Arabidopsis thaliana: one gene and its partner. The protein of the gene in region 1 interacts with the protein of each later gene in a pairwise test. Each region holds a gene or a part of one and is shown in the gene's direction. Other genes may lie near its edges.

What was found.
Region 2: the proteins of CKA2 (region 1) and AT3G03773 interact in a protein complementation assay, tested with the Arabidopsis thaliana proteins (one study listed by BioGRID).

Annotation. Positions count from the first base shown.
Region 1 is NC_003074.8:18,532,875-18,537,610, forward strand, and holds CKA2 (casein kinase II, alpha chain 2), read left to right. Parts: upstream 1-1,575; 5' UTR 1,576-1,612; coding exon 1,613-1,908; intron 1,909-2,130; coding exon 2,131-2,260; intron 2,261-2,393; coding exon 2,394-2,588; intron 2,589-2,714; coding exon 2,715-2,872; intron 2,873-2,969; coding exon 2,970-3,060; intron 3,061-3,180; coding exon 3,181-3,246; intron 3,247-3,335; coding exon 3,336-3,418; intron 3,419-3,496; coding exon 3,497-3,560; intron 3,561-3,658; coding exon 3,659-3,727; intron 3,728-3,809; coding exon 3,810-3,869; 3' UTR 3,870-4,199; downstream 4,200-4,736. Other genes in the region: AT3G49990 (Low temperature viability protein), read right to left, coding at 1-1,126; AT3G50010 (Cysteine/Histidine-rich C1 domain family protein), read right to left, coding at 4,374-4,736. UniProt on the Arabidopsis thaliana protein: Casein kinases are operationally defined by their preferential utilization of acidic proteins such as caseins as substrates. The alpha chain contains the catalytic site.
Region 2 is NC_003074.8:949,637-954,355, forward strand, and holds AT3G03773 (HSP20-like chaperones superfamily protein), read left to right. Parts: upstream 1-1,991; coding exon 1,992-2,004; intron 2,005-2,138; coding exon 2,139-2,253; intron 2,254-2,598; coding exon 2,599-2,637; intron 2,638-2,751; coding exon 2,752-2,932; intron 2,933-3,073; coding exon 3,074-3,230; coding exon of another isoform or gene 3,231-3,241; exon of another isoform or gene 3,242-3,426; coding exon 3,427-3,455; intron 3,456-3,549; coding exon 3,550-3,595; intron 3,596-3,819; coding exon 3,820-3,854; 3' UTR 3,855-4,204; downstream 4,205-4,719. Other genes in the region: AT3G03776 (hydroxyproline-rich glycoprotein family protein), read right to left, coding at 4,508-4,719.

The DNA of each region.
Region 1 (4,736 bases):
GATTCGAGTATGTTGAGACTATGGTTTCACAATCATGCTTCTCGCTTTCATCGCTGCTTTCTTCAGTCAGCTCTACAAATTCATCTTCATTCCCGTTATCAAAATTTTCACCATATTCTACAGTTCGGCGGATAACATGAGCAGCAGTGTCCACTTCCTCTTTATCTCTGACAGAGTCACTGTTCTTCAGTATATCCGCAGGGTTCATATATTTTTCTTCAAGCTCATAATCTTTTGCCTTCCCATGAATAAGATTCTGAACTTCTTGAGCCATGAAGTCTTCTTCTTCTTCTTCTTCTCCATCTTCAGCTATGTAACCATCACCGTCACTATCACTTCCATATTCATTGAGTTCGAGCTGATCAAATAGCTCATCAATTTGACGAGGAACTCTCGGGTTTTCAGCCACAGGTTCATCACTTTCTCTTTCTCTAACCTCACGTCTTACAGAAAACTCGAGCTCTCCATTGCTCACACCAGAAGATTCACCCTTTTGAGTAAGATTAGCTTGAACAACAAAATCTTCTTCCAAATCCTCAACATCAGAACCAAACTCAGACCCATCACTGTTTTCAAGCAACGCAGCAACTTCAGGATCAATAGCTTTCTGCACCTTGACGTTAACAGTCTTGGACGCAACACTATACATCAACTTATTATCATTACCTTCTTCATTCACCATACCAGAGATCTTCACACGAGACGCATCATAAGCCTTAACATCACGAGGTAACTGAGCAACCTCATACTTAGGATTCACATAGAAATTAGAACCACCACCAGTATTCTTAATCTCTCTCAAATGCTCCAAGTAATTATAACCATCATCAGGATACCCTAACTCTAAAATCTCCTTCCTCACATGAGCAGGTAAAGAACTACTCGAATCCCCAAAACTAGAGTAACCATAATCCATCTCTTCAGGAGCATCATCAAACCGTGAGCTGTCTCCTTCTTCTTCTTCATCTTCTTCAATGAAACCATTGATGTTAACAGGGTTTTGATCAACTCGTAAGAAGATCTTATCACCACCTGGTGCATCACTGTATCTTGGGTCTGACGTATCACGAGGACACAACTCGAAAGTCGCCGCCTTTTTCTTATCAATAAACTTCTTCTTCCCCATTACTTACTAATTCACACCTTCTTAAGGGTTTTGCAAACTGTAAAACAATTACGAAGATATAAGATGTCTAACTTCTAAGTCACAGCAATCAACTAGACTATGTTTCAATCCTGACTAATAAAATGTAAATTTTTATCATCAATCAACACGAAAACATCGAAAAGGGAGAAACTTTAAGTCTAGAAACGATTCAAAAACACTAATTTAATGAAATTGAAGAAGCTTACCTGAAGAGTTTGAGAGAGAGAGGCGGAGAACAATGCAGATGAAGAACAAAAACGCTGTTGAAGATTTTTAGTTTTAGGGTAGAGCCACCCAAAACGCATCATTTTAGGGTTTAACCAAAACGCTGCGTTTTTGTGTTAAGCAAGCCAAAACGCGTCGTTTTTGGCAACAAGTCAAATTAAATATTTGTTTTATTTCCATAACTCAGTGTATGCCACTAAAAGAAATAATCCACCGCGGGAGAGTGCACCGAATGGTTACATGCACCTAATCTTCTTCTTCTCCTACTTTCTTCGACGGTACCTGTTGTTATTGTGCGCCATCTTGATCTTACGTGCGCCGTTGGCGCATTCTCTTATACCACCATTAACGTGCGTCAACACCGGAACCGTTGAATCAGACGTTACTGGTATCAGGTTCGATCGTTGCCTCGATACCGATTCTCTCGCCAAGATCTCTCTTTCCACCGTCATGTCGAAAGCTCGTGTTTATACCGATGTTAACGTGATCCGACCTAAGGATTATTGGGATTACGAATCTCTCAATGTTCAGTGGGGGTAAGATCGTATTTTTCGAAAATTATGAAAACCCTAGGAAGCTAATCAGTTAAAAAAATTGGATCTTGTAATGTAGAAATTGAGCTTTTTGTCTAGCTGGCGATGTTCTTGGTTTTTAATCTGGTTTTGAGGAGAGTTTGTTGGTTATTATGATTATGATCATGATGGGTGATGATGCTTTTGTTAAAGTTTTGAGCTTTTTTATGTGGGTTTCGTTGTCAGGGAGCAAGATGATTACGAGGTAGTGAGGAAGGTGGGGAGAGGGAAATACAGTGAGGTTTTTGAGGGGATTAACATGAATAACAATGAGAAGTGTATTATCAAGATTCTCAAGCCTGTTAAGAAGAAGAAGGTGAGTGTCTATATTACTTCAATTGGTGACTTATGATTGATAGCAATGAATGGTGTTGCTTTTACAAAAGGTTTTGTCTTTACTTAGTTTTGATTTTGGGTTGCCTTTCTGAATTTGTATGATCCTTTTACAGATTAGAAGGGAGATTAAAATACTTCAGAATCTTTGTGGAGGGCCAAATATTGTAAAGCTGCTTGATGTTGTCAGAGATCAACACTCAAAAACGCCAAGCTTGATATTTGAGTATGTAAACAGCACAGACTTTAAGGTTCTGTATCCAACATTGACTGATTATGACATTCGCTACTACATCTATGAGCTGTTGAAGGTAATTTTAATTTATTTTATGTAGAGTTTATTATTTCATTACGACTTCTGATTTGTGGAATTTTCTCGGTTCCACAACAAATTTAGTTCAGTGATAACCTTGCAAATTTCCTATGATATGCTGCAGGCTTTGGACTTCTGCCACTCACAAGGAATAATGCACAGAGATGTCAAGCCACACAATGTCATGATCGACCATGAGCTGCGCAAACTTCGCCTAATAGATTGGGGTCTCGCTGAGTTTTATCATCCTGGAAAAGAGTACAACGTCCGTGTGGCCTCAAGGTATGTATGATAGGCGCCTTCAAGATAAGTTGGTTTCCTATCCATTTTTAATATTTAGTCGTTATCAGTATCTAAGCTTGATCAAATGTTGTCTCAGATACTTCAAAGGTCCCGAACTTCTAGTTGATTTACAGGACTATGACTATTCCTTGGACATGTGGAGCCTCGGTTGCATGTTTGCTGGGATGGTGAGTACCTTGCGAAATGCTAGGCTTCCAATGCTACATTTATATATGATCATTCTTTTCAAAAAATTTCCAAAATATAGTATCGTAATGATGAAGTGTCTAAATTATCTTTTCTTGTAGATATTCCGCAAGGAACCTTTCTTCTATGGCCATGACAACCAGGATCAGCTCGTCAAAATTGCCAAGGTAATCAAATGCGTGGGTAAATGTGGGAATTTTAGAGGGATTGAGTGTTTTTTCACATCTTTAGAGTGTATGTTTGATTCTTGACTCAGGTACTCGGAACTGATGAATTGAATGCATATCTGAATAAGTATCAGTTAGAACTTGATACTCAACTAGAGGCACTTGTTGGGAGGTAAGCAGAACTCACATATTCTCTCTATAGTATAAGAGTAGATTAAAGCAGTGCCAATGACCAATCCTCTTTCCACAGACATAGCAGGAAGCCTTGGTCCAAATTCATCAACGCTGACAATAGGCATTTGGTCTCACCTGAGGTTTGTTTACTTTGTTCTCTGTATTCTATAAGAAACACAAACGCTTTTGTTTGTTGCCATGGTTTCTCTCTCGAGCTGTAACTTTGTTTTAAATGTAGGCGATTGATTATTTGGACAAGCTGCTCCGGTATGATCATCAAGACAGATTAACTGCAAAAGAAGCAATGGTAAGTATCATATAACGTAACTCAAACAAGTTTTCGTTCTCATAGTCTGCTAAATTGTGATGGTTTTATGAATTGATGACAGGCTCATCCCTATTTCGCTCAAGTCAGGGCAGCAGAAAGCAGCAGAATGAGGACTCAATAGAGATGTCTCGGCCGATTTTTGTTTCTTCTTCTTCTCCAGTGTGCTCTTTTGTTGTTTACTAATACATTTTCATATCCATATGGATTTCTTTTATAATGTCGAAATTATGGATTTATAAATATGAGAATTCTTATTACTCCCTCCGGTTTCTTAAAAGTTTGTGTTTTGAGATTTTTGACACTTTAAAAAATTATTTACAGTACCAATATGAATCTAGACTAAGTTGTAACTTGTAACGAGGCTCAGATTACACACACATGCCTTGTTTGTACACAATTATGTGTCTTTGATCATTTTGATCTACGTTATGTTTCCAAATTGATATTTTACTGAACTTGTATCTATACTTATTGTTCCCCAGCAGTAGTTATGAAATTATGAAAAACAACAAGCGTTCAAAAATCACACAGATGCAAAGCAAAATACGATAAATCACAACAATATCGAAACATATCAGTGTTTTACTTTCAATACAACAAATGAAAGTTCTTATAACTTGGAAGACTAATGGCCACCAAGGTAGATCACCTCTTTACTTTTAGTAAGTAAACATGATCTGGAACAATATTCAAAACCATTGCACTGGAAAAATGTTTTGTGTGGACAACGCTTCTTGCAAATAAAGCAAAAAGGTCGAGACATATGATGATTGTTTGGCAGAACACTTACCTCTGCACCGTACTTGTTGAACCATTTTGAACCGGGCTTCATGTAGAAGTCCACCCCAACCAAGCATTCAATGTGTATGGTGACACAACAATACTCATCACAACTATAAAACCGCTCCTTTGGATTTAATCTTTCCTCACAAATTTCACACCAATAAGTCATGGTACTTGTCTTGTCCCCATAAGAAAGAGTGAGCAC
Region 2 (4,719 bases), about 18 Mb from region 1:
TCTTTTAGGGTTTAGGCCTTTAGGGGGATGATCTACAAATACGAGTCTGAGGCAAACAAGTCTTTATATAGTATAGATTTAATTTTGATATTTTTTTAAAGTTTCTTATATGAATATTAATTTGATTGAGAAAAGTCTGTCTATCAATTAATTGGGTATGCTAAGTTAAACAAGATTAATCAAGAATGAGTAAACAAAACCAAGTAAATTAGTGTAACTCTAATTTTGTTTTGAATTTTGATCATGTAAGAAAGCTGAAAACAAACTAAACATAAAAACCACAACAACTACACCGGAATTTTATCAAAAACTAGGCTTAAAACCAAACTGAAAGAAAAAAAAAAGATCCATCCAAAAACTTAAATCTGAAAGAGGTAATATATATATTTAAGGTGAAAATAAAAAGAAAGCGAAGTTGTGACACATACTGTAATGTAAGCTTTCGCACGAAGGCATCTCCATCAGAAAGGTCACACCAGACTTTTAAAGTGACACATGTAGGTCCCAATCTTCTCCGACCTTTTCAAAGTTCAAGAAAACAATCTTAATACAACAAATTAGCTCACATATAATATGATCAATAAAGAATAACATGCAAGGAATTGGAAATCAAATTAACAAACAATTTAAACTAAACTCGTGTATTTAATCATATTAAATTGAAACTAAGGCATGATGTCTTAATCTCTTGACTACTCTCACGTGCCATGAGTGATTCATCTTTTTATTAATCTTGTAGTTTTTTTTAATATGATTCATAGTTGCAGGTATAAGAAAACAAGTAAAGTAAATGCTTACAAACATAAGAAAACAAAATTCTGTGAAATTTTAGTCCACCTGGTTTTATATAAGCATCTTCTTCTGTTAGATTTTTCTGTGCATCGTTTAGGAATAAATATTTAATTTTAATTTATCTTATTTTTTTCCTTCATTTTGCGTGTTTCATTTTTTGGTTAGTTTTGTTTTGTATCTGTTGGTTGCATGTCTCAATAGTCAATGTCGTCGTATACAATCATAGTTTAAATAAAACTAAAAATTGTTGGTGCAGCTTATAATCGACTAGCCAACTTTAAACAATACGAAATAGAACGTGGTAATTTCCAATTTCGATTTCTTTTTCCTTAACAAAAAAAGATTGATCTTTAATTTGGTAGACGAAAAGAAAATTAATAACGGCTAGAAATACATTTATACGACTATTTTAACTGGTAGTGAAAATTGATCGACTGGCAACTATAAAATTAATATATTATGAAAATTTATTGGCTAAGTGAAGTAATTTGAGATTATTTCATAGAAATACATTTATACGACTATTTTATGTTTTTTTCTTGATTACTATCATGCATTCATATGTTACATTATTCTGTTTTTATCACATAAATATATATACACTACATTAAAGTGATTTGTAGAAAGCGAAAGCAAATACTTAATTAAGACGTACGTTAGAGCCTAGAGGAGTGTGTGTGTGTGTGTCATTTTCGTCTTGCGGTGTAATAAATTAGGTTAGATGGTTTGTTCAACATTAAGATTTATTGTGGTTTTTGTTAGGTATGTCGTAATTGTGAAGTGATCATTTGCTAATTTATCAACCGCATCCTCAAACTAATCCTTTAATTTTATTCGACTTTAGAATTCATTAAGAATAGTAATATCTTAATATGTCAAAATTTGACGATGCCATATAGACAAGTTTGAATAAATTTAGTGTTATATAATGCAATCAACGTAAAGGAATTTTATTTATACACATCTCGTGACCAATTTTTCTTTTACTTATCTGTGTAGTTGTAAGTGTTATGCAAGTAGCATGTGTGATGTGTCATCATTGATCTATGATTTGTAACAAACTATGACACATGTTGTCTTTTCATTTCATTTATCCCTATTTTTCCATTTTGCTCTTGTTTTTACTTTATAGTAACTAGCTTAAATTATTATTATTGCAAAATGCCAAATTGTGAAATAAAATCTCTAATTGTGGCCGAATGTGTGATAGGTGTAAGTTTTATGGTTTTTTAATAAACTCGTGAAGTTATGGGTCTTTGTGGAATATTCTAAAACTATTGGGGCCCAATGTGTAAATATTTTCTATTCACCTTCTTCACTCTAAGAATCGTTTTTACCTAAGACAGATCGTTTCAAAGGTTTCAACATTTGTCTCTTGAAATCGATCGCCGTTTTTCTCCATCCTCCGTTCATAATTCCGGCACCGTTTATCCAAAATCTACACTTGGCTGAAAACATGAGGTAGCTGTTCGATTTCTAGGTTTTTTTGAAAAAGTATAATCTCGAATTCGATTTGTGTGTATGTTTGCTTAACTCACAAAAAGGTTTTGCGTGATTTGTGAGCTGAGTTTGACTTCCTCGTCACATTTTCTCTAACCAGACTATATAAAGCCCTTACCTTTAAGTTCTTTTACTAAAGGGGTTTTCATTAGTTATATAGCCTTATAGAGAGTAGTGTTCTTTGTGATGATGAGAGACTTGTTTGCACAGATCTTACAACTTTTCTTTACTTGTGATGATGATTGGCTTCAGCAGCATTCATGTTTACAATCTATATAAGCATTGGCTTTTGTTTTACTTGTGAAGTTCAAAATTGAGAATCTTTGTGATTGATATTCGTATGATGTAACAAGTTAGTCGTAATCTTCTGTTACGGTTGTGTGATTGAGGTAGTATGTTGCACAAAGTCCGCTGAGTAGAGTAACATCGTATTATATTGTTGTTTCACCTTGTGTGCAGTCGTAATCCGGAGGTTCTTTGGGCTCAGCGTTCTGATAAAGTTTACCTAACTGTCGCCTTACCTGATGCGAAGGACATTTCGGTGAAGTGTGAGCCTCAGGGTCTATTCAGTTTCTCTGCTCTTGGTGCCCAAGGCGAGCGCTTTGAATTCAGCTTGGAGTTATATGGGAAGATTATGACAGTAAGTACCATTTCTTCCTTTAAATGATAAGAACTAGCAGCAACTGTAAAGTATCAAGTGGAAAGTAACCATTGCATCTCTAAATCGATAAGTATCCACATATACTTCTTATAACAAATCTATGTAATATGTATGATGCAGGAATATCGGAAGAATGTAGGACTAAGGAACATCATATTTTCAATTCAGAAAGAAGAGAGAAGCTGGTGGACACGACTGCTGAAATCGGAAGAGAAACCTGCACCTTACATCAAAGTCGACTGGAATAAATGGTGTGATGAGGATGAGGAGGTCAACTGTAAGTCGTAAAAATATATGTTACAAGCCAAAGTTCTCTTTTCAGTTCAATCTCTAGATGATAATCGAAAATCTTCTCATATTACATGCTTGATTAAGTAAACCTTGTTTGAAAAGACATAGGAAAATCACAAGTATTCTGATCTCTATATGATAATTTGTTTCTAACGTTAGACTCTTTTTCGTTTCTGTTTCAGCTGAAACAGCCTCTGATGATGAGAGTGCAGTAAGTGTTTTCTCATAATCGCCTAATGTATATCTTTCTATTGTTGTTTAGTAAAGCCACCCTGTTTGATTATTTTCCCTCTTTATTTTCATAGTTTGTTAATCAAGATAGTGAAAGCAGCGATGACGATGGATTGCTCTGTAAGTTTCAAGAATCTTTATCTTCTTATAGCAATGATTACGTACATTTCACATATTATATCTATGTATACCTGCAAGTAGAGATTAAGTGAAGATTGATGGATTATTGTGTTAAAGGCCAAAGTATTAGTAGCAAACTATTCTGTGATTCAGTTCTGGTTAGTGCCAAATATAAATCTGAACTTGTCTGTACTGATCTTACTAATAACATTATATTTGGTCAGATCTTCCTGATCTGGAAAAGGCAAGAAACAAGTAGCTTAACCGCAACAACAACCAACCAACCAACTCTGGAAGATGAAGAAAAAGTAAAAGACTACGAGCTGAAACATAGTGCTTTAGGATGATCCGGTTTGTTCTGTACCTGACTAAACCGACCACCTATCTCTTCCGGTTTACTCAGGTTTACCTCTGATTTAGGTTTCGTAGGGTAATCAGCATTAGTTGTCTCTGATGTAGTTTGGCTTTTTTTTCTGTTATGGTTGGTTCACAAGTTAGGGTTCGGTATGTGAATTCTACCGAGAGTAGGAACTTATAAAGTAATGTAAGGGTTGAACTCTAATAGACTAATACCGTTGAATGACTATGTCTTTTTCAATGGTTCGGATACTTTATCGTCTTTAGCATGTGATGTCGCCGTGAATTGATCATCCGACGAAGAAGAAGATGCAGGGATTATTTCAGACCAAACTTAAAAGCTTCTGATACAACAAGAATCCTAGACTGTATAACAAAACAAAACTTTTTCTGAGAAGTCTGCGTGTGTTACTTTAGGAGAATCTCAAATATCCAGTTTGGAATATTTTGTTTGAAATCATAATAAGATCCTTAATAAACATAAATCTTTCTCATGATCCACAAACAGACATCAACGAATGAAAAAAGGACAACATCGTGCAACACTAAAAGTTTTCACATTATCCGGCATAGTTGCAAATCTCCCATCGTAAAGTTTTTAGGCGGAGCTGGTGTAGGCGGGAAACTCTTAGCCACCGGTTCTTTCTGATGGAATTTGTACGGTGGTGGTGCTGGTGGCTGCGGATGGACCTGACGTGGATACGGTGGTGGTGGTGGGGGACATATAGTGGGATTGTATAGTTGAGGTTGATTCATCCAATAATCCG